4 linked regions of the Diceros bicornis minor genome follow. The main gene of each other region encodes a partner of the protein of the gene in region 3 in a complex. Links are inferred from orthologs where the notes say so. Each region holds a gene or a part of one and is shown on either strand. Other genes may lie near its edges. The genes, in order: HDAC3, GPS2, TBL1XR1 and CORO2A.

Evidence for each region.
Region 1: TBL1XR1 (region 3) and HDAC3 share a complex: the UniProt entries of both Homo sapiens proteins name them as parts of the N-Cor repressor complex. The link is inferred for Diceros bicornis minor from reciprocal best matches to the Homo sapiens genes TBL1XR1 and HDAC3.
Region 2: TBL1XR1 (region 3) and GPS2 share a complex: the UniProt entries of both Homo sapiens proteins name them as parts of the N-Cor repressor complex. The link is inferred for Diceros bicornis minor from reciprocal best matches to the Homo sapiens genes TBL1XR1 and GPS2.
Region 4: TBL1XR1 (region 3) and CORO2A share a complex: the UniProt entries of both Homo sapiens proteins name them as parts of the N-Cor repressor complex. The link is inferred for Diceros bicornis minor from reciprocal best matches to the Homo sapiens genes TBL1XR1 and CORO2A.

The regions. Positions count from the first base shown.
Region 1 is NC_080740.1:59,790,388-59,798,130, forward strand, and holds the start of HDAC3 (histone deacetylase 3), read right to left. Parts: upstream 3,016-7,743; 5' UTR 2,964-3,015; coding exon 2,909-2,963; intron 2,815-2,908; coding exon 2,732-2,814; intron 1,419-2,731; coding exon 1,276-1,418; intron 1-1,275. Other genes in the region: RELL2 (RELT-like protein 2), read left to right, coding at 4,433-4,616, 5,013-5,078, 5,173-5,239, 5,691-5,876, 6,154-6,529, 6,655-6,687. UniProt on the Homo sapiens protein: Histone deacetylase that catalyzes the deacetylation of lysine residues on the N-terminal part of the core histones (H2A, H2B, H3 and H4), and some other non-histone substrates.
Region 2 is NC_080757.1:10,975,591-10,982,551, reverse strand, and holds GPS2 (G protein pathway suppressor 2), read right to left. Parts: upstream 3,004-6,961; 5' UTR 2,891-3,003; intron 2,746-2,890; exon of another isoform or gene 2,680-2,745; 5' UTR 2,611-2,679; coding exon 2,517-2,610; intron 2,135-2,516; coding exon 2,025-2,134; intron 1,946-2,024; coding exon 1,833-1,945; intron 1,695-1,832; coding exon 1,615-1,694; intron 1,524-1,614; coding exon 1,441-1,523; intron 1,080-1,440; coding exon 926-1,079; intron 819-925; coding exon 729-818; intron 636-728; coding exon 556-635; intron 468-555; coding exon 372-467; intron 193-371; coding exon 109-192; 3' UTR 11-108; downstream 1-10. Other genes in the region: NEURL4 (neuralized-like protein 4), read right to left, coding at 3,730-3,934, 4,551-4,716, 4,806-4,918, 5,085-5,229, 5,349-5,456, 5,548-5,635, 5,776-5,955, 6,358-6,516. UniProt on the Homo sapiens protein: Key regulator of inflammation, lipid metabolism and mitochondrion homeostasis that acts by inhibiting the activity of the ubiquitin-conjugating enzyme UBE2N/Ubc13, thereby inhibiting 'Lys-63'-linked ubiquitination.
Region 3 is NC_080754.1:45,360,865-45,368,492, reverse strand, and holds the start of TBL1XR1 (F-box-like/WD repeat-containing protein TBL1XR1), read right to left. Parts: upstream 3,015-7,628; 5' UTR 2,972-3,014; intron 1-2,971. UniProt on the Homo sapiens protein: F-box-like protein involved in the recruitment of the ubiquitin/19S proteasome complex to nuclear receptor-regulated transcription units. Plays an essential role in transcription activation mediated by nuclear receptors.
Region 4 is NC_080767.1:8,385,580-8,392,587, forward strand, and holds the start of CORO2A (coronin-2A), read right to left. Parts: upstream 3,018-7,008; 5' UTR 2,908-3,017; exon of another isoform or gene 2,861-2,907; intron 1-2,860.

The sequences.
Region 1 (7,743 bases), on a different chromosome or scaffold from region 3:
AACATTACAGATTAAAAGTCTTAAGAGACGGAATACATACAACCAAATGCAATGTGTGGACCTTGTTTAGATCCTAATTTAAATAATTCCACTGCAAAAAAGAAAAATTATAAGACAATTGAAGAAATCTGAATATTGATTGCAAATTCAATGATATTAAGGAATTACTGGTAATTTCTGAGATGTCATAATGATATTGTGTGGTTTTTTTTTAAAGAGTATCATTTGGAGATACACAACAAAGGATTTACAGATAAAAGGATATGACATCTGGGATTTGCTTTAAAATAATCTAACTAACATAAGAGGATACAGATGAAGTAAGATTGCCCATTTGCTCATAAGTGTAGCAGCTGGGTGATGGATATGTGGGGGTTCACTGTACTAGTCTACTCTCAGAAATGTTTGAAATTTTCCCTAATAAAAAGTTTAAAAACAAACTGAGTAAAGGTAGCTGTTATGGTCACTGTATTTTCATGGATGTATACTAGAATGTAAGCAAGGATCATGGCTTATCGTCACTGTCCACTCCCTTCTCCACAGGGCCTAACTCTGAGTCTTCTTGCTATGATACAAGCTCAATGTAAACCTGATCATGTCAGATCACCCTCTTGCTTTTTAAAATACTTCGATGACTTCCCTCTATTCTAGGGGTAAAAACCCCAATTCATAATAGGGCTGTTTACTTTTTAAAGGCCCTGCCTACCTCTAACCTCAATTCAGATCACTCTTCTCTTCAGATTCTGTGGTCTGCCTTTTTTCTGTTCCTCAAATGAGTTACACGTTATCCTAGCACAGATCCTTAGCACATGTTCTCCCTACTGCCCACAACATTCCTGTCCCTACTCTCTATCCTCCCAACCACCTTTCACCTAATTACCTCCTCCTACTCTTTCTTCAGATCTCAGCTCAATCTTCATTATTTCCTCTAGGAAGCCTCCACTGACTAGCCCACTCCCAAGCTGGATAATTCTTCCACATATACACTCCCATGGTCTGTCATGTGCCTCTTCTTCATAGGACTTACCACAACTATAATATTAAAATATTGCTGTTGTTGTTTATCACTGCATCCCCAGCACTTAACACAGGACCTGGCCTACAGCAAATGACCAGTAAATATTTGTTGAATAAACAAATGGGTAAATGATGATTCACTGACAAGTAGGCCTCTTCATGTCTTCCCACTGCTACCACAAGACCTCACTCAAGTATTCTCCTTGAAATGCCTGGCATCAAAGTGCCTGGCATCAAAAGTCCCAGTCCTCCCCTCACCAGTCATCGCCCACGTTGAAGGCATTAAGGCTCTTGGTGAAGCCTTGCATATTGGTGGGGCTGACTCTCTGCAGGAAGTCGATGTAGTCCTCAGAGTGGAAGCGGCACATGTCATGCTGGGACGCCTGGTATGGCTTGAAGACCTCAGGATGGAAACACAAGATGAACCCAGGCAGGGTCAGTCCCACTAATGGGACTGAGACCACCCACACTGAACCCAGCCCTGGGGACTGTCCAAAACTACATACAGCAATCCCTTGACCCCTCAAGCCGTGTTATTCTAGGAGGCAAAGGTCAGTGAAGAAGAGAAGCTCCAATTAGCCAGGTGGGTTATTATGGTCAAGCCCCCTAAAGACCATGGGGGTTGGCTTCTCCTTCTCACCTCCAGTCCAGCCTTTCCTACTTTCTCAACCTTGAGCCCTGATCCACCTGCCCTGTTCCCCGGATCTCCTATTCCTGCTTCTTTCCATAGTCCTCTCCACCCCTGGACTCTGATTCTGTCCTCTCTCTCCTCTGAGTTCTTAATTTCAGAGTCAAATAATATGGGATATATGACAACCTTCTAACTAAAACCCAAAGTGCCAAGGTGCTTAGCCAGAGATTTATCATCTTTTGAGGCGTTTACACACTTCTTTAGAAATTGGACAGAACAAAAAGCTTTTCTCTCCCCAAAAAATGCACACAGGTACATACAGCGGCAGACTAAATTTCAAGGGATTCATAGATTCATGCACTAACATCACCTCAGTCTTTTCTACGACCAGTTCACTTCTCTGTGCCTCGGCACAAGCAGTGGACACTCATACTGTTGACTAATTCCCCTTGTAATGCATAAGGGCTGAGCTTAACTGTTATAATTGCATATCACAGCAATAAATTCTAAGGTGGGGACAGACAGCATGTGAGGGTTGGGTAGTGATTACCCATGTAGGGGTATTCTAGGTTGGAAAGGGAATACTCAGGACATCTCCTGCTCTCCTCCACACACACATACACACTCACACACAGGGCAGCAGAGTCCTCCCTGGAGCTCTAGCTCCTTGGAGGCGGAGAGAGGTGGCAAAGAAGGGGTGGGAACTGAGAGTAACCTCACACCCAGATTCGGTGATCCAGCCCCTCTCCCTTTCCTGAGGCCACAGCACTGCCCACATCCTGAAATGCGAGGGAGGAAAACACCTTCTGTCTTCAAACCAGCCCCACTCCACCCTAACCTAGGTCAAAGGTTGGTCCACCTGAGGTCAAAGGGTGGCTAACCTAAGGTGAAAAAGTAACTCCTATTAAGTCAGGGGATGCACCCACCAACACTTCGCATATGGGGGATGCTCCTGGTTCCTTCTATCCAGCCTCCCCCCACTTCAGGGGTGGGTCGTACTTGGTGCATTCAGTGCAGCCTACCTACCCCTAGGGCCACAGCTCGCCCCCACCCTCAAATCCCAGCAGAGACGACGGGACTCACGATCATCTTCTTATAGAGACCGTAGTGCAGGACCAGACTATGGGTCAATGCCAAGCGATGGGGCTTCATAGGGTGCCCTGCCCCTGGGGGTGGGAGAAGAGAGTTCGTCAGCTCCCATCCCTAGAGTTGTAGACCTCCGCGTCCCGAAACCCCTCGCGCATAACCTTCTTCCCTCACCGTAGTGGAAGTTGCCCACGTCGGGGTCGTAGAAATAGGCCACGGTCTTGGCCATGGTTCCGGCGGGATCAGGCCCCGCGCCTCCGCCACCCGCCGGGCCGCCTGCCCCACCCCCCGTCGTACGTGCTGCGTAGGCACGCAGCCGGCCTCTGCGGAACCGGGAGGTCCAGGCCCCGCCTCCCTAGACCACGCCCACGCCCAGACCACGCCCCCTGCGCAGTTCTAGCAGTTGCCCTGCTTCGCCCTTCTAGGTTCTGGGGCGTGAGCGTCTGGGCTTGGGCGGAGGACGGAGAGCATTGGTCCTAGGATGCGAGGGCCATTTCCTTCCAGGCGGGGGTCATATGCTCGGGAAGTTGAGCCATCCCATCCAGCCACTTGCCCCAAACGGGGCGCAGGCCGTGGTCACCTCTCTAGGAGGCTCCGGAGAACCGGCCACGCTGTCCCTCTCGGGTGCAGAAAGCCGACTTCCCCGGCCCGCTGGGAAGGTTCCCGGCTATCCACCCGGCCTGGGCATCTGAGGGCGGGATCCGCGCCAGGCGTGCCGGATAGACCAGTGGAGAGCACTCTCGCCTGACTGCCTGTCGTCCCTACCAGGACCAGGACCCAGACTTGGCGCCGCACACTCCCCCGGGAGGGGGGCCCGGCGCAGTCACGCGCGCACCACACTTGCGCTCACAAGCGCGCAAGGCTCTAGCTCTCCGCCCTGCACACCTGCGCTCCGCCCCCTGGTCCTGGGCCGGCGACGGGCGAGGGCATTTGGGAAGCAGGGCGGCTGCGGCGCCCCCCATCTCCTCCCCTTCCCAGGGCCGGAGTTGTCCAGAGCCTGCCGCCGCTCCCAACCAGCCCGCATCCTTCTCCATCCTTCCCTCCCCCCGCCTGCCGCGGCACCGGTATCTGCAGCCGCAGCCCGGAGCCAGTGAGGCGGCGAAGGGGGGAGGGGGAGGAAGCAAGGGATGAGCCCCGAGAGGGCGTCGGGGGCCCTGAGCCGGACTAGGACGCCCCTGGAACCGGAACCCGAGCCGGAGCCGGAGCCAGAACCAAACCACCGGTACCGGGTGGGCCAGGCGGTCAGGATGGGAGGAATCGAAAGGGAGGGGTGTGCGGGAGTACAGGCAGGGGAGTGGGCTGCAGAGGCCTGGCTCAGGCCGGCGCGGAGGAGGTGCGAACGCTGACTCAGGTGGGATTCTTGCGCCGGCCGCCTGAGAATTCCGTCCCATCTCACTCTGCAGTGTCCTTGGGAGGGACGGAAGCGCAGGACAAGCTGGAAAGGGAAACCCTCTGGGCGTCGGGGAAGCGGGACCAGGGTCGTGGAAGAGGGCTTGCGCAGCCGCCGTCTGGCACCCCTGGCCCGGACCAGCACCCCTGACACGGACAGCTCCTTGGTTGGGTAGGGGGTGGGGCCGGACCTGGGAGGCTCGCCTGTTTCGGATCTTGAGGACGGCATTCCTATCCCTCCCCCCATCCCTAGCTGCAGCCCCCTAACCCCAGGAGGCGCCCTGGCCCGCGCTCGCCCCCCAGGGCTTCATGTCGGAACCACAGCCTGATCTGGAGCCGCCCCAACATGGGCTGTACATGCTCTTCCTGCTTGTGCTGGTCTTCTTCCTCATGGGCCTTGTAGGCTTCATGATCTGCCACGTGCTCAAGAAGAAGGGGTACCGCTGCCGCACCTCGAGGGGTTCGGAGCCTGACGACGCCCAGCTCCAGCCCCGTGAGTGAGGAGCCTAGAACCTGGCTCAGTCACCTTTCTCCCTTACCCCTCTCCCCACACCTCTTTCTGCCTTCCTGGCCAACAGACCCAGGCCAAACCGACCAAGCCTTCAGGAGACCTAGTGATGCTTTCTTGAGTCAGCAAGTGGGGGTGACACCACCCTGAAAGCAAGGCTAGAGAAGGCAGCATTAGTGGGAAGGGCCCACTGATGGTATTCTTGGGCTCCCATTGATTTCCGTATCTTTTCTGCCCTGGCCACTGAAATGCTAACATCCAGCATGATGGCAAATAGGTAAAGGGGTATGTCTTGAGCAATAAGCCACAGAAGCCACCAGGTAATGTCCCCTCAAAGCTGACTCATTTCCTGCTTCCTTGCCAACCTCTTTCATCCTTCAGCTGAGGACGATGACATGAATGAGGACACAGTAGAGAGGATTGTTCGTTGCATCATCCAAAATGAAGGTGGGTGTAGACTGGCCCCTTGCTCCCCCCTCCTCGACTTTCTCTTGCCCTGACCTCCACCTCCACTGACTCCCTCTTTTCCTTCTCCCTTCAGCCAATGCTGAGGCCTTGAAGGAGATGCTGGGGGACAGTGAAGGAGAAGGGACAGTGCAGCTGTCCAGGTGAGCTGGAAACAAGTGCCAGCATGACTTAGCTTACCTTGGAGAGTACCCTCTCCTCCAGCACACTCCTCACCAAGTCTCCTCGCATGTCTGGGGTCAGGGGCGAGAGCAAGGCTGGCTAAGCTATAGGAAGAAAGAAGTTGTGTAGAAGTCCTGAGTTCTTAAAACCCTATGTCCCATCTGGATGTCATCAAGCCTAACATTCACCCCCTGTGCCACTCCTTTGGGTTAAGTACTGCTCTCTTTTTAGCAAAACAGCCGTGGGAAGGAGAACGCATGGTCACTAACATCTTAATATTGAGTTTATTAGATAAAGACAAGAAAAGAATGTTGGGGCCTGGGGAAAGTGGGGCATCTGGGGGTTTAAGGAGCACGCTGAAAGAATAGAAGAAAATGGATCAGGAAGGGAAATGGGAATGTCACTCCTTCTCCCTTCCTCCCTACTGTCCAGCATGGATGCTACCTCCAGCCTGCAGGACGGAGCCCCCTCCCATCATCACACAGTGCACCTGGGCTCTGCAGCCCCTTGCATCCACTGCAGCCGCAACAAGAGGCCTCCACTTGTCCGTCAGGGACGCTCCAAGGAAGGAAAGAGCCGCCCCCGGCCTGGGGAGACCACCGTGTTCTCTGTGGGCAGGTGGGGATAGAGTACCCCAGGGAAAGAGAGGTTGAGGTGGGGGCCCCAATGATCAGGCACCTGACTCCAAAGGTTGACTCCGGCTTTCTTCCTGGACTGTGAGCTACGAGCTACAGCAGGAGTCAGGCTGCACAATGTGCCCCTGAATCTGAAGAGGTCTCCCCTGCCCTAGGCCAGAAGGAAGTGGCCATCAAACCCAGAATATCCCTGGCTGGAGGAAGGGGCCAAGCAGCCTCTGAGTTGTGGTCCTAAGCCCCAGTGTTCCCTCCCCTCCCAGGTTCCGGGTGACACACATTGAGAAGCGCTACGGGCTGCATGAGCATCGTGATGGCTCCCCCACAGACAGGAGCTGGGGGTCTGGTGGGGGGCAGGACCCAGGGGGCGGTCAGGGGTCTGGGGGAGGGCATCCCAGGGCAGGGATGCCTGCCACTGAGAGCCTGCCCCCTGAGAGGCCACAGCCCCCAGCCATCACCAGCCCCCCAGTGCAGAATGGAGGACTCAGGGACAGCAGCCTAGTCCCTTGTGCACTTGAGAGAAACCCTGGAGCCTCTGTAGAGCCAATGCTGGGGGCTGGAGGGAGGGGCCCAAGCCCAGGGCTGGCCAGTCAAGAGGCAAATGGACAGCCAAGCAAACTGGACACCTCAGATCACCAGGTATGAAGACATGGCCAGGGCTATGGTGGCCTGTGGTGGGCTCAGCTCTTATTGCCCCCTATGCTGGGGGACACTAATATGACCCATGTCCTGTTCTCCCATTGTTGACCCCTCCTCTCTCTCAGGTGTCCCCACCACGGGGAGCAGGGGCTGTGTGAGGTGAGTCTGCCTGGCCCAAATCAGAAAATGTCATCCTCCCACCCCCTACTTAAACTACCTAAGTCCATTGGCTCCCTGTATACCCAGGGTAAACTGCAGGCTTAGCCTTTGCTATAAATTCCTTGGTTTGGTGGTGGGGAGTGGACATGTGCTCCAGGGGATAGGGAAGGTCCTGCAGCCCCGGGGAAAAGCTGGGACACAGCTTGAATAGGAGGCAACTCTGTTACCCTTGCTCTTCTCCAAGCCTCCTCCTTCATTGCGCTGATGGACTACCAGCTGGCAGGGCCGGGGATGGGTGGGCACGAAGCCCCTCCTCTCCACTGGACAGCACTGCCCCCCAGCTGAGGGAACAGCCCTACTTCCACCTGGAGTTGCACAGTCTCAGGCTGGGGGACCTTGGGAGAAGTTCCCCCAACCCCCGGCCCTCAGTCTGTTTCCTTCCCCCGCCTGCCAACAGGCCGCCTGACCCGCCTTCCCCATCACCTCGCTCCATATGCTACAGCGTGGCAGCTGAGAGCAGGCCCCTGCCCTTGGTAGGCCCCTAAAGCAATAGCACCTCAGTCCCCTGCTCTCTTGGCACAAGAGGCCCAGGCTCTGGCTTGGGCTTCGTGCCCTTTATTCACTGTCAATAAATCCGCTCAGACCATTACAGCTGCTTCGCATACTGGCTCCAGCTCCTTCTGACAGGCCTGCCCCTGTCCCAGCCCCCAAACCAGTGGCCCTGGCATCTGGAGTGGGGTGGGTCACAGAGCCAGGGTGGACACACAGATGGGCCAGAGCCACTCAAGACTTTGAGGGATGGGTTCCAGCCCCAGAGATTTCAGGATATTTCACCACCTTAGAGATGGATGGGGGCAGAAGAGAAAGGAGTAGTTCCAGCCTTAGAGGCAGCAGCACGATGGGGAAAAGAGAGTGGGTTCCAGCCCCAGAAATGGGAAGAGGGGAAGTTTCTACTCCTGGAGGTGAGAGTAGAAATGGGGGAGATTCCCGCCTTTGGCTGTATCACTCTGGATCATTGAGGGGGTGTTCTCTGACAGTGTGGAGATAGGGGCAGC
Region 2 (6,961 bases), on a different chromosome or scaffold from region 3:
TAGCCAGGGGCAGTGGCAGATAGATTTTATTGGCCTAGGACTGGGACACACCAGGGACCCTCACCCATCGCAGGGGGTGGGGGTGAGGCTGAAGATAAAATCCGATGGTCACTTGTGGTAGAATCGTGGGTTCTGGCTGTGCTGGATGAAGGGGAGCCGAGGGCCAGGTTGGCTGGTTGCTGCAAAGCCCGACTGGTGGTGGCGATGAAAGGAGGGCTTTGTCAGTATGCATATTCTCCTTTCTTCATACCCTTACTGACAACCACCCCCAAGGAGGAAGGAAAAAGCAGGGGTGTGGGCTACCTGTCCTACCCAATTCTATTTTCCCTGGTAGTGTAGGGGTTCTGACAGGTTTGGTTACCAATCCTTACCTTTCCTGCTGGTTGCATCTGCACAGGGAGCTGGGGGGAGGCAAGGAGTCCAGGGGCTGGATGTAGAGCTTGGGGGTGCATGGGACGCAGGGAGGACTGCAGAGAAGAGAGTTAGAATCAGAGGCAGCCTGGGGGTCCCCTTACTGTAACCCTTTACCCTGACCTCCCAAGGCTCCATACTCACTGAATCAGAGAAGCCAGTCTGCTGGTTAGCGTGTTCCATCTGCTTTTGCAAGGACAAGGCACTGCCAGGCTGGAGGAACCCTAGGTGGGGAAAAGCAGTGTGTGAAATGAGTAGACAACGGGAAAGAAAAAGGGAGGACTCAGAACTGGGGTCCCTGCGTGGGGTGTTATCACCTGTCTGGGTGGGCTGGAAGTGGCTGTGCACGGCATAGGGCTGTGGCTGTGGCTGAGACAGGTACTGCACTGCAGGAAATGCTGAAGGTGCTGAGAAAGGCAAGAGGCACAGCCATTAGAACCTTCTTTAGCCTGATTCTGACACTCCTCCCTCTGGGCCTTGAGAAAAGCCCCCCTCCCTCTTTCCCACCACTCACCTCTGAGCTGCTGACTAGGACTATAGGCAGGCTGTGTGGGTCCATAGTGAGGTGGGGGCTGAGCAGTCCCATAGGCGCCGCCTGGGCTACCTTGGAATTGCCCGTGCTCTGGGGTCCCTGCGAAAGCAGCTGCTGAGCCCACATAGTGCCGGGTCTAAGGAGAGAGGATGAGAACTCACTACCTGTAAACTCCTTGAAAGCAGAAACTCCAGGGACTTGTGTATGCCCCGTTTTTCCCTATACAGTTAAGTGTTTGATACATTCATGTACTGCATAACGACGTTTCGGTCAACAATGGACCACATATACGACGATGGTCCCATAAGATCACCACCATACAGCCTAGGTGTGTAGTAGGCTATACTATCTAGGTTTGTGTTAGTACACTCCATTATGTTTCTCAGAACATATCCCTGTCGTTAAGCAACGCATGACTGTACTGGTCCAGGGAGGATGCCTGGGTCTGGGTGGAAGTAGGGAAAAACAACAGGCTAGACACCCAATCCTCCTCTTACCGTAAGCACTTGGGGTCCAAACATCTGTTTGGCTCTGTCAGCTGCCATGAGGGTGCCTGGGCGATTGTGTCCTCCAGGGCTCCCTAGAGAGGGAGAGGGGCTTCATGATGCTGAAATGGGGGGCTGCAACCCCCAGGAGGGCCCATTCTGACAAGTGGTTTCTGTACTCCTCACCCTGCATGCTGAGGAGGTGAGTTCCTGTGTGGACAGTCAGGCCCTGCTGGTACGCAGCTGATGTCAGAGTGGTCAGGTCACTGGAGTGAAAGGAAGGCTGGTCAAAATCAAAGACAAGTCCTCCCTCTTTCATTATTAAACAGGGACCTTTTGTTACCTGATCCCAGTTACACTTTGCCCCCAATTTTATTTATTTATTTTTAGCTCTCCAATCCCACCTCTGCTCCTTGCGCCTTCGTTTTTCTTCCTCATGTAAAACTTTCTTGAGCTGCAGAAAAAGCTGGTGCTTCTCTTCCTGTAGGGCCAAAAGCTTCTCCTGCAACTTCAGGATCTGGGAAGGGAGGGGAGAGAAGATGAAGGCAGGAGAGCTAAGGGAAGGAAGAACTGGGAGAGAGCAAGGGACTGCTTACTTGTTCCTTTGTCTCCTCTAGTGACATTCTCTCTTCCATCTCCTTTTTCTTCCTTCTCTCCTGCTCTTCCTTCATTTTCTGTTCCATCATCTTGTCCACTTCTTCTTCCTCTGGAGAAAGAGTCAGGCAGAATGAGCAAGTTGCAGTGTGGTTAAAATATAACGTTAGAGATTGAAGAACAGCAAAAACTGGTTATCCCAATACTTCTTTATGCTCTTAGTAAGGGCTCTTTCCCTCTTGAGGGGACAGGCTTCCCCATCAACGCAACAGGGGACAGAGAGAGGGAGGTTTTTCTAGGTGCTCTCCAAGGTCCTTCCCAGCTCAAGGGTTCTGGAGTTTAGACCTGGTCTCCAACTCCCACCACAACGGGGCTGTTCCTTCCCTCCTCTAACTTCGACGGCCAGCGCATTGGTCGGCCCGTGGGTCGGAGTCAGCCCTGGGGTAGCGGTACCGCCCTGGGCCGTGTGTCTACCCGCTTTTGCCCCGGCTCACCCTGGCGCTTGCGCTCCCGCTCCATCATGATGTGCCGGTGCAACGCCCTGGCCATGGCGTTGGAAAGCTTGGGGCGCTCCAAGAGCGCAGGCATGGTGCCGCCGGGGGCGCTCGGGCTGTGGGTGCCCGACTCTGTCACTGACTGCCAGACCTCGGACCGGGCCTGAGGGCAGACGGGCGCTCAGAAGGGACCGCACCCGGCCCAGGCGGAAGCCCGCCCGCCGCCCCGGTCACGTGTCCGGCGCCCGCCGCCCAGCCCGGCCCGGAAGACAGCCGCGGCTCCACCGCGTGCGCGGGCGGGGCCCGAGTCTCCGGCCGCGGCGCTCCCCGCCCACTGCCCCGCCAGCCCCGGGCGCCGGCCCCTCCCTACCCGCCTTCTCTTTGCTTTCTCCGCGGCCTCCTGCGCGCCTTGGCCGCTGCGTCACATCCGGCAACTGGCCCGAGTCCTTCCGGAGTCAGGGCAGCAGCCGGCCTCGCGGGTGGGGCGGAGAGGGAAAAGCGGAAGCGCCTGCGACGGGTGCCCGTCGCGTCCAAACCCCGTCGCTGCGCCTCAGCCGGCGCTGCTCCTGGCCGCGCGCCAGCCGCGGGGCGCCCCAAGCGGGCTCTGGACTTGCGGGCGGGGCCTCTAATTTGGCGGGGCCGGGCACAGCGGGGACAGCCCCAGCGGGCAGGGGATCCTCCGAGGGGCACGCGAGAGAGAGGCGGAGGCGGGTGCTTTGAGACGGTGTTTATTGGCTCCTTAGAAATCAGAGTCAGTAACAACTGTACAGAGGGCCCCCATCTTGCCTTGCACCCGCCCTTCCCCACTCCCGCCCGGTGGCCCCCGGAAAAAGCAGCTTCATGTGGGGCACAGGGAGACTCCTCTGGGATTCACAGTAACCAAGAACAAAAACGGAAATAAATTAAGTGATATGGGGGAGGGAATCATAGGGAGTCGTGTTCCCCAAATCAGTGCATGAAGAGGAGTTACCCAGGGCCTGGAGCTGGGCTCCCCACAAGCTCCCTCACCTCAGAGGGAGTGTTTCGCGCCCTGGACATGGAGATGTGCTCCACTTCCCATCTAAATCTGAGAGCCTGCCTACACGCTCCTGTGCATTTGCCAGACTGAGCACCTGTGCATGCCATGGGTCACTGGAATGAGTTGGAGGCAGTCGTCACTCAGAGTCCACAGGCCCAAGGCCCAACTGTGCTTGTAGTAGTGAGGTCTCACCCCTCATTCCACCCGTACCAGCAAGGCATAGAGGAGTGTGGCCCCCTTCTCCTTGGTTACCCACTCAAGTTCGGCTGGGGTAAAGTGAGGGTCAGGAGATTCTCTGAGGGCAGTGGAAGGGGGACCAGGGGTGTAGGAGCCAGGGCGCACACACACCTGGAACGCCACCTGGGCCTGGTGGGTCCGCTGGGATTTGGGGTCCCGGAATCTGTCAGGCAAGAAGCAGAAATAGGGCAGTGAGGCCTCTGGCCCCCATCACCTCTCCCCCTTGCTAAAGGCAACCACCACACTGGCCTTGCTGGTCCTAGGAATCACTCCCACCTTTTAAGACCTGGGTCTAGCCATTCTCTCTACTTGAACTGGTCTTCCTCCCAATGCCTACTTAGCTAACTCCCTCACTTCCTTCTCCAAGCCTTTGCTCAAATCTCACCTTCTTAAGGATGTCTACCCTGACTACCCTATTTAATATGCCCACTCCAACCACACTTCTGATCCACTTTACCCCACTCTACTTTTTGTTTCCATAGTACTTACTGGTCACTTTTAAAAATACTAAATACTTATTATGCATAAACATTCTAGAGCAAGAGAGGACATAAGTTCCACAAGAGCAAGATTCCCATTTTGTTCATCGAAATGAAATGAACAAAACATTAAAATGTTCAGTGAAATGAACAAAATAAGTGGTATTTGTTCAATGAATGTGTGAAGAAAGGGCTAGGGTGGAGACTGAGGAACTAGCAAGACAAGGTGGGAACAAGAAAGCAAATCATGGAGACCCAAGTGTCCCTGGCACCCACCTGCCCCCACCCCCGTGTACTCACTGCACTTTGGATGCCAGGGTCTCGGCCCCAGCATATTGGAGAGAGGGGGAAAGCAGCACTGGAGGGGGCTGCTCCTCCCGAGGAGGTGCGCAGTTCTCGCCAGGCTCCTCGAACCCTACCCCAGGCTCTCCCTTCAAGGGCCGGCAGCTTAGAATGGAGGCAGTGCCTGTGAAGAGAGGTGGGTCAGGGCAGCCCTCCCGTGGCCCACAGGCCCGGCCTGCCATACCTGCCCTGCTTCTGCCGGTGCCACGGTACCTGCTCCCAGCTCCCCTCGGTCCAGCACCCTCCGGACAGCTGCCACATTGCTCCCATGATACGCCATGTGCCACTTCTTGGTTAGCGTCCCAGCCTCCAGGCGGGGATTCACCCTAGGAGGTGGACAGATAGGGCAGATTGGACAAAGGTCACTGGCTCCCCAAGATTATCCCCTAAACATGAAGTTTGTCACTTCTTCCCATACAGCCTCTTGGGACCCTCCTTTCTCAAGGGGGCTAAAAACAGTAAGGGAGACTCATGATCCTGCCCCATATGTACCTGAGGTTGAACCTGCACCAGCCAAAAGGCAGGGCGTATTCCCGGGGAGGCTCCCCACGGCGCCTGTGGGCCTCGTCCCCTCGCAGCTTCCGGCAAGACTCACAGTAGCACAGGCTACGCTTCGGCGGAGGCATGAAATAATCCTCTGCAGGAGAGTGAGTGGCAGACTTGGTGCTGTGGCTCCCACCCTGGGTCTCAACCACATGGCCTCCTTCCGACTGATCTCCAGGGAATGAGGCAGGTTCTGGGGGACTGGGGGCTCACCAGGAAGCAGCAGCAGTTCTTGGAAACGGGAGCAAAGGGCATGGTACTCGCAGCTCTTGAGAGGGCTAGCAGCAGGCGGTGGACCCCAGCACACACTCTCCTTGATACCTGAGGGAGCAGAGGGGGCAAAGGTCACAGGAGCTGTGGCTAGAAGTATGGGGTGGGGGGGTAGGATCCTGGTCCCTTCAGGCTGGCTCACCATCTACCATGTCAGCTTTCTCCATGTCCCCTTGGGTTCCAGCACTCTTCCCACTAGCAGTTCCTGGTTCAGGGCTCACGATTGTCACCTGCAGGGGAGAGGGGTGGTCAGCCAGAGCGTGACCAGCCCCCAGGGCCTGCTGACCCCCTCCTTGGACCAGACTTCTCCTTTCCTCAGACAGCCCAGTCTCCCAGGCACTCCTTTCTCCCTGCCTCCCTTGCCACTCACCTGCTCACATTGCCCGTAGAGGTCCACGAGCGCGTGGCAGGGCTGGGAGACATCTGGCACAGCTACCCCCTGGTCCATCCCATTGACGTGGAGATGCAGCCCCCCGGAGCTGTCTAGCCGCAGTCCCAGGATGGTGCCTTCAGGACACGTGTCCAGATTTGGCCCAAACTTCTCATAGATCTGGGAGGAGAGACCTACTGTCTTGCCAGAGATCAGACTCCCACTGGCAGGGGCCACTAAAGTGGCCCTTCACTAAACTTCAGATCGCCAGTCCCTGGGCTTTGCCTCCAGGCCTGCCCACTGTCTGGGCTCTACCTGCCCCCTCGCCCTCCGACAATTACCCAGAGTCCACCTCCCCTTCCCCCACCTTCTCCATGGCAGAGACACAGGAGGCAGCGGCAAGCCCAAGACTGTCCAGGTAATGACACATGCCTTTGCCCACCCACCACAGGGTCCCCCCACTACAGTGCCCCTTTCTACCTGTGGTCCTACCTCCAGGCCAGGGGCCCCACTTCTCTCTTTTGGCCAGCCCCTCCCTACTCAGAGACCTGGCCCTCTCCCTTTTCTCTGCTCCCTACCCACCTTGAGACCATTGTGGAAGACCCCATGGCCCCGCAGCAGCCAGGCTGCCCGTTTGAGGGCACAGGCAGAAGCAGGGAAGTTGAGCCTCTCTGGTGGGCAGGTGATGACTCCCAGGACAAGGGAAGATGTCCACTGCCGGTTCAGGAAGTCGATCCGCACCTGGGGGAGAAGGCAACTATTCCCCAATCATGGCCTCCTGGAAAGATGCCCAGCAGAACCAGGCTCCTCACCCCAGCCAGGGAGGGAAGATAGCACCTGCCAGAGTGTAGCCTGGGGTGCTGCCCCTCCTGATGCTTGGAGGGACCTGAAACTGCAAACTCAGTTGTTTTCTTCCCTCTTTCAGCCTTGGTCTTGCTGTGGCCTCTGTAAGAATTCTTGTCCCTAAGGGCTTCCTTCAGCTGGCTGACATCTTTTAGTTTACAGCAGAAAGGCCCCCTCCTCTGGAAAGCCCTCCCTGTTCCCACATATAGGATCAGGCATCTCCCCTGGATTCCCCCAGCCACTCCCTACTGCTTCCTTCACGAGTCACCATGTGAGCGCTTCCTGCTAACTGACCTACAACCCCCACCAAAGCGTATGAACAGAAGCCCAGGAAGCTCATCCA
Region 3 (7,628 bases):
AGAAGATACTACCAGAGTGGTCTCCAAACTGGACCACACTCATCAATTCTTTACTACACAGCCCCGGGGTCCTAGTCCTTCTGGACTACGGGGATGTATAAATGTCTTGATGTTAGCTGCTTTCTTTTTTCGCATTTCAGTGACTTATACTGTAAATGTTATTTGTGAAGTGAGTCAAATTCACATGTACTAGAAAAATACAAAGTCCTAGGCAGTGCCAATACTTCTGCCATCTCCACTGACTACCATCCACATTCCTCTCAATTCTTTTTATATAAACAAACAGAAACTGAAGAAACCCAACAAACTATTTCTCCTAACTTTATTAAAATGTGTCAAGTCACAAATCCTTTGTAGTAATACCGCTGTAGTAAATTGCAGAAGGATTCCTTTGTCAGCTACTCATTTGACAAGGCTGTAGTTACATTTCATTGCTACATATGAACAGATGTATTTATTCAACAGGTTGTCATTCAAAAGGTCTATTAGTCAGATTTCTTGATCAGTAACCCCAATGTTTATATTAAGCTCCTGCCCTTTCTACGTATTAGCTACAAAGGCTCCCAGCACACAGGAAGCAGTTACTTTTTGTTCTCTTAGTAGGCATGTATCACAATAAACCTCAATTAGATGCTGAGAACACAAGTAACAAAAAGATTCCTGGACACATGTAAAAAGTTATCACAATGTTTAACACTTCCTGGAAGCAACCAATGCAAAAAATACAACCTCCACAAGGGGCCTCTTCATTGACCACGGTGTCTCCCACATTAATAACGAAAGCTGGTGTGTATTGGCAGCAACTGACGCTGAGCTTTGCAACAATTTTTAAGCCATTGACAAGTTTCTTAACAGTAAGAAAAACTTTTTCCATGGACACACTGTCTTCATCCCCCACACAGTTTAGTATTTTGCCCTAGAGGTGTGATTCTAACTATTCAAATAGCAAAAAAAAAAAAATAGTAGTTATTCAAGGATTTAATGGTTGTGATTACATACATCACACAGTGCATGACAGCAGAACTGGAAAAAAAATCATATTCCAAACAAGCAGGAAAACCTCAATTTAAGAGCAAAAAGTATAAACATGCATCACATGCCTGACCACTCTCAGGCATATTTTCTTTCTGCTGCCCCTCCTCCACCCATAAATGCTAACTATTTCTAGAACCCTCAATGATAATTTCCAAAGCTTGCATGAACTCCCATGATACAACGTGACATACGTTTCATGAAGACGTTTTCATGGAGACAACGCTGCCCTATTTCCCCAAACTATAAACTTATTAAAATGGTGAGAACATACAGTCCCAGGAAGTCAGGATTACTAAAACACACCAATGTAGCACAGGTCTCATTTAACAAAAACGAAAATGAACCACACTGGGAAAGCCAAAAAAGTCACTCACTGTCTCTTCAATAGGCAATCAGGCTATTAATTACAATTTGTTTTAGGGAAGTCGATAAAAACACCACGAGGGCATTATGTTACCCAATCTGATAAAGGAGCCTTTAGGAAAAAAGGGGGAGGAAGATGATTGCTTACATGGGTGGCCCGGAGGAAGGGAAAATAAACCATTTAGACTAAAAATAACCCATCATTTCACCCACCATATTTAATTAACAAGCTTGTTTATATTAGCATAAGGTTCTTGTTTGGAAAACAAGAAAACCAAGAGTAAACTTCCCCTAAGTCAACTGTAAATCACATAGGTACTAAAACTGTTCACCTTGGTGTCTGCACAGTCCAAGGTTTTATGTAAACTCCAGAGACTGAGAAAATCTAGTTTTTAACTAGGTTCCAACACTTGTCATTTGTAATCACCAAATTACTTTAGAGACTATTATTAGAAAACCTAGCAAGAGGAGCATTTTTCAAGAGCCATCACAACCCAAATTTTACATGAAACACACCATTTTCACAACCTGAATTTAATCTCGGTTGCCACTGCAAAGTGAAGCCTGTTTCAGCAAATTAGGAACTTCCAAAAATACTGAACATGTTAACACATGCATGGCTTCCCTCGAGCTGCCATTTAAGATTAATAATTTCACTGGAATAAAAGTCTGCTTCTGTTCAAAAACTGACATCGGTTGCAAAGAGGAAGTTACCGAGAAACCACCCTTCACAACGTGGCCTTTACACTGTCAGAAAATAATGTGACTGTGCGACCCAAAACTTACCAGGAAGCTGGCAATAACTTTACCAATTCTACACTTCTGAACCCAACTTCAAAGAGGTTCTATCAAATGCCTCCTTAAGACGGTAAAAAGCACTAAGTTGGAAATAAACACGCCCGGGAGTGCGGCCCCGCGGCCGCGCGCCCCTCCCCCGCCGGCGCCCCCGCCCGGCCCGCGCGGCCCCAACAGCCGCCCGCAGCCCCCTGCACGCCGGCCGGGGTCGCCGCGCCCGGGCCGGGGACGCGCCCGCGGAGGGGAGCCTGTTTCCATTGCTGCCTGAGGTTTCACAGAATAACATGCACCGAAAAGAGCCCTCTCCTCCGCTAAAAATAGGCTATAAAGGAGTCGGCCTCATGATGGCTCCTTGATTCAATTTGCTGCAAATTCTTCCCTGAAAGCCTCCCCCCACATATACACACACGGAAAAAGGGGGTGTAAATGCACGAAGGGTGGAAGAAGGGAAGAAGGCCGAGGTGCACATTTTCGGGGACCACAACATCCTAAGGGTGAGGATCCCCCGAGACCAAAAAAGGGTAGGGGGTGGGCAGGCACGTGAGCATTTCAAAGAAGCCCGAGAGAGGAAAAGGGGGGGTGGAGTACCCCAAACGCCTTCCCTTCCTTCCCCTCCCCCACCCCAGCCCCAGCTCTCCAAAGGGCCAAGTCGAAAAATGCAGGTTCCACTGGCGCCCATCCCCCCGCGGCCCGGCGCCCCCCGGCTGCCGCCGCAGCCTGCGCCCCCCGCCCCGGCCCGCGGCAGCCCCCACCCCGGGGTCCGGCCCCCAGCGCTTACCTGGAAACGGTGGCCTCCGACGCCGCTCCCCCCTCCCGGGAATGGAGGCACAAGGAAATTCCCCTCCTCGCCGCCGCCGCCGCCTCCTCCAACCACCCCCAAAATAACCCCTCCGGGGGGTGAGAGGCAATTATAACCCCGGCGAGCGGAGGGCGCGGGGGATGGGCGCCGGGCGGGCGGGGGCGGGGAGCGCGGCGCGGGTCCCCAGGTGGCGAGCGGAGGTGCTCCCGCCGCGGGGGGAGGGGCGGGGGCGCACGCGGCCGGCGGCGGGGGGAGGCGGCGCGCGGGGGAAGGGCGCGAGCGGGGAGAGGAATTGAGGCAGAAGGTAAAAGCTGTTACTAAGGGAAAGAGCCAAACGGTTCGGAGCAGCCAACGGCTCAGACACTCAACACTGGGGAGAGAGGAATGGGGACCAGCCAGGCACAAATGAGCTCGCGAGGCCCGCGGCGGCGACGGCCGCGCAGCAAAACAAACCCGAGCGGCCTGCGCCGGGCGGGCGCGCGGGGGAGGGGCCGGCGGGGGAGGGGCGCGCGGCCGCGGGGAGGCGGCGGCGCGGCGGGGGGGGCTCCGCCGGCCTCGCTCCTCTCCCTGCGCCCGCCGCGGCGGCGCGGGGGGCTGGGCGGGTGCGGCGCAGGCTTTTAAAAATAAAGAAAGACCCGCAGGCGCTTCGCGGCGCCGCCGGGGCACTGGCCGCCCCGCCCCCACCGCCGCGCGGCCGGGTGCGGAGTCGTTTGGGTGTGGGCCGCGCGGCCCGCTGGGGGCGGGGCGGTCGGCGGGGCTCCTGCGGGTCCGGGGGCCGCCAGTCCCCGCGGGCACCCCGGCGGCGCGGCGGGGCCGGCTGGGCACACCCCCGCGGTGGGCATGTGTGGAAGCGCGGCGCAGGCATCATATGGACCTGTGTTTGTACAAAGCTCTGCACACACCTTTGTGTGCATAAATACATATGTTTCTCGGAAGCGTACCTGGAGAGGTGCTTTATCTGTAAGCAGCGATTTTCACAATGTAATCCGGAGCACGGGATCTGGAGAGAAAACACACACACGCAAGAAAAGGGTTTTGATGCTAAACACAAAGCTGTAATTGAAGTGTTTATGCCCAAATGTACTGTGAATCAAACATATGGTGGTATTTATCGTCTGGTGGGTCTGCTTGAAAGGTTTGGTCGATCAGTTCTCATTTCACAAAAATAAAATAATGTAACTAAATGTTTACTAAATATATACCTCTACGGCAGCATCGACAGTAGAAGTTTATCCACTTTGTGTACTTTTTGCATGTGTGTAGCACATCAAGGCAGTTTGTAAAGTATAACTTAGATGAGTGATAATGTGTCAATATAATGAAGGAAGGGAGGGCAGAGGGGTGTTTTAAAAAAGGGATGCACCTCACAGTTCTTAAAACGAATGTGTTTATCTTTCCGAGGCCCTCAGAAAGCAGGGGTTGGGAGTCTTAGATCTTTGTATAAGCCTAGAACATAAAAAGCAGCTGTCCTTTTAAAGATTTGACCTAAAAGAGAACTTTTTTGTTGTTATTTTCAGTTATTGGTGAATTCAAAGTACAATAATATTTTTTGCAGCCTTTTTAGATGAGGGGTTCTGTTTTCATGCTTTCATCACAATATTTGGAAATAGACGTAGTCACTATTTTAAAGCAATAGTCTTTTCCTCTCAATATCAGAGACCTAAATTTTCACACCAAAAAAAAGTTCATTCGAAGTATCTTTCACACATCTGGACTCCGGGTGGCCTAATAAGCTCAGTGACTAGACAGGTGCTTTTTTGGCCAAGGTCAAAGGCTATTTCCCCTGATGAGCCCTTACTTGGCGGGGAGGGGGAGCAGCCAGAAGCCTTTCCTGAGAGGGAGCAGGAAAACCATCAGAGGAAAGGGAGTGGGATTGGAAACTCCCTCACAACCACCAGAAGAGAGTTCACAGCATCTCAGTAGTTCGTCCTCAGAGCTATTTTAATATATGAAAGAGGGAATGTTAGATTAAACAATGTCACCCAATGGGAATTTAGATAACTGCCGGTTTCCAAAACACTGTGTTGAGTGTTCGGGCAAACAGCACAAAGAGAGCAAGTTTTGCATTTCAGTGACGTTCTAAGCTAAGGCTTACTGCAGAGCTCGCACCTTTGCAAAGACCATTTCCGAAGTGATGAGGGTATAGTACCTTCCTATTTTTTTTAAATGTTTTTAAGTATTGATTAATGACATATGTATGTTACTAAACATAATCTTCTCTTCAATAAGCAAACTATCTCAGTACAATTAGGCTTCATTATCTGAGCCACCCAGTGAGACAAATCGATTGGCCTAGCTTGTTTTTGGCCACCACACATGGGTCTTCTCAGCACCGGCTGCTGTAAAATCAAACCACTTTTCCAGTGAATGAGGATTTCCAAACTACACCGACCCTAGTTAATAGGGTCATCTCCAAACTTGGGGCCCCCAACTTATCATCCCTCAAAATGATCTCTATCACTCCATCTCCAAGGGAGAGCCCATCCTCCTTCAGGTTCATAGGGTCCAGGGCTTCCACCCTGAAGTTCTTATACCCTACACCAAGCTGCCTCCCGTCCTAGCAGGAGTTCTTGTTATCGTAATGATAATCATAATCCATGCGTTTGTTTACATCCTTGTAGTTATAAGATGTTTCTGTGCATAAATTACTTCATTTAAATACCATGATAAAAATCACCAAAGGTGGGGAGCTTTGCCGTAAACTAGTTCCAGTAAAATGCACCTCATCCGCCATGCTCGCTAAAGATAGACTTGAAGTACCTTTGGACAAAAAAAGCACTAAATGTGGAAAAGCCTTGATTCTCCCAACCAAGGGGTATTAAGTGAGATCATATTTTGATCACTTCAATTTCTATATTCTGGAAACTCTGAAATGACAGCGTGGCTGCAACATGAAATCCTCAGATAGATGAGCCACCATACAAAGTTCACATGTATTGCTACCCCACCCTCTAGCCATTCCAACTTATCTAGTATACAAGATCAGAGGCCTCACTTTATACAATTCAAGCAATAATTAGACACAGGAGTAATGTAAGGACAAAGTTAATTATTGTTACCAGTTTTCAGTGCTTTGTCCTAATCTAAAAGCTGTCCTTATGCTTTGAATATAAATGTTAATATGTTTCTAGAAAGGAGAAATTACTCTGTTACTAAGAAATTTTAAAGCAGAGGCACATTAAGAAAGTTCTCTTGAACTTTCTAGCTAATTACTCAACAAAGAGAAACCTCATACCAGTAACTGTTACCAGACTTTATATATATATTATAAAATGACTAAACAAATCTTGACTTGTTTTATTTCAGTAATATTACACCCAGGGGGTGTGGTATGGCAAGATAGCCTATACTTTTGCAACTTTCATCACTCGGGAAATAGAACATTTTAAAGTTAAGGTGGCTTAATCCCAGGTTATAGGATCTCATTACTATATATATTTTTAAAGCCACCATGATGTTTTATGTTGTTTGCATTAGCTGATCTATGTAATTAAAATGTTCAAAACCAACTTAAAAGCATGAAAAAGATATTTGATACCAAAAATATTATCCCGACACTATAACTCTTTGTATATTCTTTACTCACCCAGGAACTCAGTGGCTTTACGTCTGCAGTGTGTGCCCCCAAGCGTCTTGCTGATACCATGTGATACGTTTCTGTTTCGTTTTGACTCAACTTGTGCAATTCTTTGTCTGTGGTTCTTCCAGCTATCAGCTTTTGCCATCCGGACTGATGCAGATCTCGGCCACACATCTTAAGATCTCAGCACATTGAGATCTCCTTTTCTCCCTCTGTGCTTAGTGTGTGACTTCTGACCTTTCCTCATCAGTGTGAACCTTGTCACAGTTTTCCATGACTCTGTGACCCGATTTCATTACCACAATGAACTTTACTTGGGAGTTTTCATTTAAATTACAAAAGCAACACACAACCATCTTACAAGTATTTATGCCTTTCAGATAATGGAAATAGCAGGTTGGATTCTGCCTTTGTGATTCAGTCAGCACAGAAAACCACCCACACACAGAGCATAGTGCTGTACCAAGTACTTACTTCTATTGACCAGCCGTGTGCTTCCTCAGGGCAGCACTCAAGGCCTCGCATTATGTTGATAGTTTTGCTATTCATTCATTCAACAAACGTTTATTGAATGCTTAGTGTGCCAGGCACTGTTCAAGAAACTGTTTACCGTGAACCAAACACAGCCCTTACTCTCTTGGAATATACATTCTGGTCCTGTGTCAGGTGGGGGTTGGGAGGGCAGACAGACTTTCAGAAAATATACGTCTGTATTAGGCTGTAGTTTGATTTCTATAACAAAGGTGATATAAAAATGGCTTAAACAAGATAACAGTTTATTCTCTTACGTGGCCATTCAAATGTAAGCATTCTAGAGTGGATAAGGTATCAAGGGTGCAGACTGCTTTATGATCTCAACACATATCTTTCATTTAAGATGGCTTTTCTAGCTCCTGCCATCACATGCAAATTCCAGCCATTGGGCCAGAAAGAAGGAGAATAGAGAGCTTTGCCTTCTCTTTCAGGACTTGGGGCAGTTGAACTTATCACTTCCACTCATACTCTATTGGCCAGAACTTGGGCACATGACCATACCTAGCTGCTAGCAGGCGAGGT
Region 4 (7,008 bases), on a different chromosome or scaffold from region 3:
CTTATAATCACACTTTGCTGGTCCCCACCGCACCCTGCCAATCTCTCAATTATGGCGGGGAGCACACTGCTCTTTAATTATATCTTTTTCTGCTAAGTCTAGAACGTGGGCTGTCAGAGCTGAAGAAATTCAGCAATCATTGACTCTACCCATTTCACAGAGAGGGAAAGTGAGGTACAGAGAAGGTAGGGGACTGACCTAAGGTCACACAGTGGGGTAGAGGAAGAGTTCACCCTGGAACCTATGTCTGCTGACTCTTCCTTCCTCTGGACCACACTGCTTTTATGTTGGCCAGACTCCGGCAACGGACACTTTTGTGCCACTGGTTTTTAAGCTGTACTTTTCACATGAAATGTTCATTAAACCTCAGATAAAACACCAAGAGCTTCTTCCCTACAAGACAAGTTCTTATAAAGAACAGCATTATACTCGTCTCTCTCTATATACCTACTTCTTCAGGGTAAAGTCCTCACAGGAGAAGGCTGGGGGCGAAGGGCAGTTAGGGTCATTTTCACGGACTTTTGTAACAAGCTACCAGATTGCCCTGCAAAATTACATGCCACCAGAGAATCCCTACAGCTTTGCCAGCACAGAGGTTTATCTTTTTCTATTTATTTTTGCTAATTTTATAGGAATAAACACAGACTGCTTTTGTTTACTATGTGGTATGTGTTTTCAAACACACACACACTCTGGTTGTGGAATCAGGATCCTTAGGCTTGGCTGCTGGTTTACTGTGACCTTTGACAAGTCACATCTCCTCTGGGGATAGGGGAGGCCTATCTGTAAAAGGGGGGTTGGATGAGATAACTTCTTAAGATCCCTTTCAGCTTGGACATTCCATAATTCCATGGTGCATTTTCAAATTATTAGCATAGCATGATAATTTTTTTTTTTTATGAGGAAGATTGGCCCTGAGCTAACATCTGTGCCCATCTTCCTCTATTTTGTATATGGGACGCCACCACAGCATGGCTTGACGAGTGGTGCGTAGGTCCACGCTCCGGATCCGAACCTGTGAACCCCGGGCCACCAAAGCGGAGCATGTGCACTTAACCACTACGCCACCGGGCCAGGCTGGCCCCACATGATAATTTTTAATAACTAGAATCTGCCATGCCCCTAAATCAGGCCCAAAAGGCTTAGACCAGTCGAGCAAGAAAACAGGGCCCTGATGATACACACGTAGATAGGATGGGAGACTTAGGTAGCACTTAAGCCTGTGTGTCGTCTCTATGCTTGAGTGAGAGCACATATACTTAGTCTGCTTTTACGAGGGGATGATAACATTCATCTGTGGTCCACTCCGAGTTCTGCGCAGCTCCACCATGGCCAGAAGGCAAGGTCGTGGTCACTCTGCTTCAACCCTAGACTCCCAGACTTGTAGTCAAAGGCAGCTCATCCCCAGCAAGTGCTCATCCAGCCTCTACTTGCATACCTCCAAGGACACAGAGCTCACCACTGCTCAGGAGGTCTCTCCCTTCTTTTGACTGTAAGAAAGCTCCTGAGTGAGGAATAGGTCATGAGGGGTACAAGGGAGACCAGAAGGCCCAGACTCAATTCTCAGAAACTAGTCCCTCAGTCAGGGCAGGCAGCAGGAGAAGACAGGCAGAGGATCTGGGGCAGGGAGGCTGGAGAGGGCTCCTCTGGCTCCTCCCCTCCCTCCAGACCCCGAAGGCAGCTGCTAACCCAAAGGTGTGCAGGAAGTGCAGGAAGCACAGGGGACACAGTCCAGTCCTGATGAAGGCCGCTCCTGAACAAGCCCCACGCTGACCACTGCTCGCTCTTGGGGCAGACACCCACCTCCCTGTCTTGCCTTTGCTCCCTTTGGCTCTGGCAGGAGAAACAGTGCCAGGCCTGGGGCTGTTTAGCTGGAGGAGGTGAGCAGATTTAAGGGACCAGATGATGGCCCAGGAGAGGAGGGGTCAGATGTTGTCTCTGTGCCCAGAGCAGGACCAGCAGATTCCAGCTCTGTTTATAGCTAGTGAGATCCCCATCACAAGGGACATGCAAGACCTTCCAGAGGGGATCTTACTGAGGGGCTGGGCCAGATGCCAGAGGTCTTCTTTACCCAGAGAGCCTGGATCCACAGTCCCTCAGACATGTGCTCTGTCTCAGACCCAACTGCACCTAGACACAGCTTTCTTGGCACTGTGGCCCCTCTGGGGTCCACACACGGATGTGAGCCAGCGCTATCACACCCGGCTGGGACACAGAGCTGGGCACCAGCACCTGACCAGGCAGAGAAGAGGAAGGGGACATCCCATACCATTCCCTAAATCCAGGTTGCCTGCATGGGTCCGGTCCAGGCAAGTCTGCGGCTGAGAGGCCCACCGCCTCCAAACCAAGGTTCCCCCAGCCCCAGACCGCGAGGCAGACTTGGCGCGCAGACTCGGACCGCCCCGCCCTGCATGCCCAGGCCGGCTCGCCAGGGACCTGGGGTGTCCCCCGCTTCCCGTTTCCCCTACTCGCCCAGCAAGTCACCCAGCTAAGACGGGGAGAGTCCCAGCACGGGTCCCGCGGGGCATCCCCCACAGGAGGCCTGTCGGGACCGGCTCGCCACACCCAGGGTGAGCGGCCCTCACTGCGGGTGGGCTGTGCAGACAGTGCCTATCCGGGCTCCGAGACGTCGGGAGCCTGGAGCTCGGGGCGGCCTCTCCCAACAGCCCGGCGAGGAAGGGGCCATCACTGCGCCCGCTATCCCGACGGGGAAACTGAGGCCTGGAGAGGAGCAGTGCTTTGTGCAAGGTCACGCGGAGGGGCTGGAAGCCAGGTGCCCCGCGCCCCGCCGGGTCTCCGCGGCGCGCCGAGCCCCAGCATCCCTCCCCGGGCGCTGCAGCCCGCCGCGCGGCGCGCCCACCTCGCGCAGGCCGGGAAGGCGCGGCCGGCGGCGCGGGGCCGCCCTACCTTGACGACGGCCGCGCAGGTGGCGGTGGCGGCGGCGGCGTCCGGCTCCGGCTCCGCGCTCCTCGCCGCCCGCCGAGTCCCCGCGCCCAGCGCCGCCGCCTCCGCGGCAGCCCGGCGGGCGGGGCCGGGGGGCGGGCCAGGGGCCCGGCACAAGCCCCGCCCGCGCGCCCCGCGAGTCCGCGGGGCCACCCCTCCTTCCCTACCCGCCCCCCCCGACCGCGCCGCTGGCCCCGGAGCTGGTCTCGGGGCGCGCACACGCGCACAGCGCCGGCGCGCACACGCCGCAGTGACCGGGGCCGGCTGCGCGGCGACCGAGCGGAGGCTGGGGACGGCCAGAGCCGCCCGCCCGCACGTCCGCCGCTCCCTCGCTGCGTGGCGTGGGGCGGGGGACTCGACCTCCCGGAGCCTCAGTTTCCCCCTGGGTGAAATGGAAACAGTAACCGTGTCTGCCTCCGAGGGCTGTTCGAGAATTAGATGGGAAGGTGTCGTTTACCGGCCCGTGTGAGCGGGCACGCAGAGCCCGCCACAGGAGGAGCGCTCGGAAACCCGGAGGGCAGAGGGATTCCGGAGGCCGCCCAGTCGGCCCCGAGGAACGGGGCGGGGCTGGCCGCCGCAGTGTGCGGAGGACTCCCTTCCTTCTCTCGGCAGCCAGGAGGGGGCGCTGCTGCCCACTCTTGGCTGTGAGGTCCTGAGCATCCTAGGCAATGCGGAGGAGATGGGGAGGCCCAGCGTTTTCACGTACCACTGGCCAACACCTCCTGAGCCAGGCAGTTTCAGGCACCTTAAATGCATTACCTCACTTCACCGTCACACAAGCCTATGAGGTTACACTAATACTTATCTGTTTTACACATAAGGAAGCTAAGGCACAGAGAGGTTAAGGACTTCACTTAAGATCACACAGCCAGTAATTCAACCCTAGGCAGTGTGGCTCTGAAGCCTGAGCTCATAGCCACTCCACCGCACTCTCTCTCTTGAGAAGTGTATTTCACTTAGCCACTAGTATTAGCCCATTTTACACATAAGAAAATTGAGACTTAGAGTGGCTTTGAACTTGGGAGCTCTTGATTATCTCCTTAGAAAGAACAGCGGGGGCCAAAGGCTGCGACTCAGTGTTCACTGTTCACTGGGCCCCTCCCCTGCCTGGAGCTGGATGGACTCCCCGCCCACCGTCCAAAGCCCAGCCCCTCGGTATGGCCCTCAAAACCTCTGCCCTGCGGCCGACCCAGGCTTCTTGGAGCTGGACTGCTCAGCAGGCCAACTGAGTGTGGCTCCGGGCATCGGCATAAAAGAGCTGGATATTTGATGTTTCAGGAAAGCACGTGGCAAAATCAGAACGTGGTGGGAGTTCCTTCTCCTTATGGTTCAATATTGCCTTTATTTTTCATTACACCTGGGGGGTGGGCTTTATAACCTTTCCAAGGCTAGGGCATCTGAATGTCTTCATTCACCTGGGGCTTGAGCGAACATCTCCGATGCATCCCGCCAGCCCCTTGCGCACTCACACCTCAGTGCCTTTGCTCACACTGTCCCCTCCACCTGGAGTTCTCTTCCACATCATCGTTTTCGCCTGTCTATAACCAACTCATCCTTCCTTCCAGGCCCAGCACCCACACCCTTCCCAGGAAGCCTTCCCAGATGCCCTGTGGATGCACCCTCCTAGCCTTGTCTCTGCATCTTTCCCCTCTGCCATGATGGTAGGTGGCTGGGACAGTTTAGGGAAGGGCTGGTTTGACAGGGACCTCTCTGGGGGCTGTAGGCATAAGGACCGAGGGGCCAGAGGAGAGGACACTGGAGGCCTCTACAATAGACACAACCTGGGGCCTTTCTGGAGATGCTGTGTGTGTGTGTGGGGGAGGGGGTCCTCATTCTCCTGCCTCTCCCCTTCCCCAACCCTGGTCCCTTTGAGGAAGGCTACCCCCAACCATCTTCCGCATTGCACACATAAGGAAACTGAGGCCAGAGTAGGGATGACCCGCCCAGAGGTCCAAGCAAGAAAACCACACAAGAGGCATGGCCCCAAAGTTGGGCCCACCTGCCAGCACCTATTGTTGGGTCTTATTGCTGACTGGGATGGGCCAGGAAACCAGCAGCTTCCTTCCCGGTGTGTCAACATGGCAGCTTTGTTTAACCTGCCGTGTGTGGGTAAATGCCTGGTACGGGAGCAGAACGTGTGTGTGTGTGTGTGTGTGTGTGTGTGTGTGTGGCAGATTCTCCACCTGCCCAACATGGAGCTTTCTGTACAACACGGCCCTGTGCCCAGTGGGGCCTGAGCTTAGAGAGAATGAGGGGACAGCAGCGCCTGGGAGTGAGGCTGAGCGTGGGGGAGCGTGGCCCTGAACACGGGCATTCTGTAGAAGTGTGCACTCCCACGCTGGGGTGGGGGAGGGCCTTCCAAAGTGCCCTCCAGGCCCGTCCTCCTCCTCTGAGGAGTCCCTCCATTCTTGGGGAGCCTGCCCCGGGAGCTTCCCTGGGTGACTCCTTTCCCCTCCCCCAGAGAACCGAGTGTGGACCTCAGCTTGCGGGGGCGCGTGTCTGGGAGAGGGATGCTTTGAGCTAGAGGTCCCATCCCCTGGGGTAGGAGGGTGGGGCTGTGAGGGATCAGATCCTCCCGGGGGATGGGGCGACAGCTGTGGTGCAGGGCCAGGAACCTGACACCAGGGGTGGGCCCCAATGCCCCTCAGGAAGAGGGGAAGGCTGGGCAGGCTCCGTGGGAGCAGCAGCAGCCACCCGCCTCCCCGTGGTTGACCCCACCCCCACCCCCTGTCCCTGCCCCAGCCTCGCGCTCAGGCGGGTGGTTCTTCCTCCCATCTCCCTCTGCCTGGAGCTCTCCCCACAGGCCCTGCGCCACTCAGGAGGCCACGGGCCAGGCCCGCCCTTTGCCCTGGGTCCCTGGGGGAGGTGTTGAAGACAAGGTGAGCTGGGAGGGGCCCGCCCTGGTTTTGCAGTCAGGGCCTCTGGGCTTGAGCGTGGCTTCACCTCACAGCGATTGTGTAACTGGGCAACCTTGCTAACCTCCCTAGGCCTGCTCCTCACCTGTCAGCTGAGCTCGGCCCGGGTGAGAGGTGCCGAGGACAGGCAGCTCTCAATCCTGGCTCCGGCTCCAGCACCCGGTTTCAGGCTCTGAGCGGGCCCAGCACGAGTATATACATATATTTTTTTGAGGAACATCAGCCCTGAGCTAACATCCGATGCCAATCCTCCTCTTTTTGCTGAGGAATTGTGGCCCTGGGCTAGCATCTGTGCCCATCTTCCTCTACTTTATATGGGACGCCGCCACAGCATGGCTTGATAAGCAGTGAGTAGGTCCATGCCTGGGATCCAAACCTGCAAACCCCGGGCCACCAGAGCAGAGCACCCGAACTCAACCGCTACGCCACTGGGCCGGCCCCCCAGCGGGAATATTTTTAAAAAGCTCCTCAGGTGCTCCTATGGTGCAGCCAGGTGGGAACCAGGTTACACAGCGCTGGATGACCTGCAGAGCACCGCCCCCCAGTGGGCAGGGGGAGGGTGCAGGCTCCCAGCTCTGGGCAGAGCTTCTCCTCTGCGGGGTGGGGGATGGGGGGACGGTGGAGGAGAGGAGAAGAAAAGCCGGGAGGGAAGATGAGGGAAGGAGGAAGCAGAAGGAAGAGGTGGGAGGAGTAGGGAGGGAAGACGGAGGAGGGTGCCATTTACCTGGCAGCCTCCGTCTGATCTGGGGTTGTTTTCTTTTTGGCTGAGGAGAAAATCTGAATTTCAAGGCTGGAGTCTGAGGCACCAACTGGGCCAGTCTGGCCTGGAGCCTTGGGCCTTTCTAGGCCTCAGGGCCCCTGGTGACGTTTTCTTCATAGAAAGGCCGCTCGCTGCCCTTGGCTGCACTTCCTCTGTGCCAGTCCCAGGCTCAGCACGGGTGTGGTCTCCTTTAACCTCCTGGGAGCTGCAGGAGGCTGGACCCCTTGTCTCCTCGCTGATGGCCCTTAGGGCTCCAGCACCCAGCCTGCTGGGGTGCCGCCAGGACCCCCCCCCAGACCACATCACACTTCACAGATACTGTCTGGTGGTGGAAGCACCTCAGCAGATGACACAAATTTAGCAGAAACAAGAAAGACCGTCAAGCCCCAG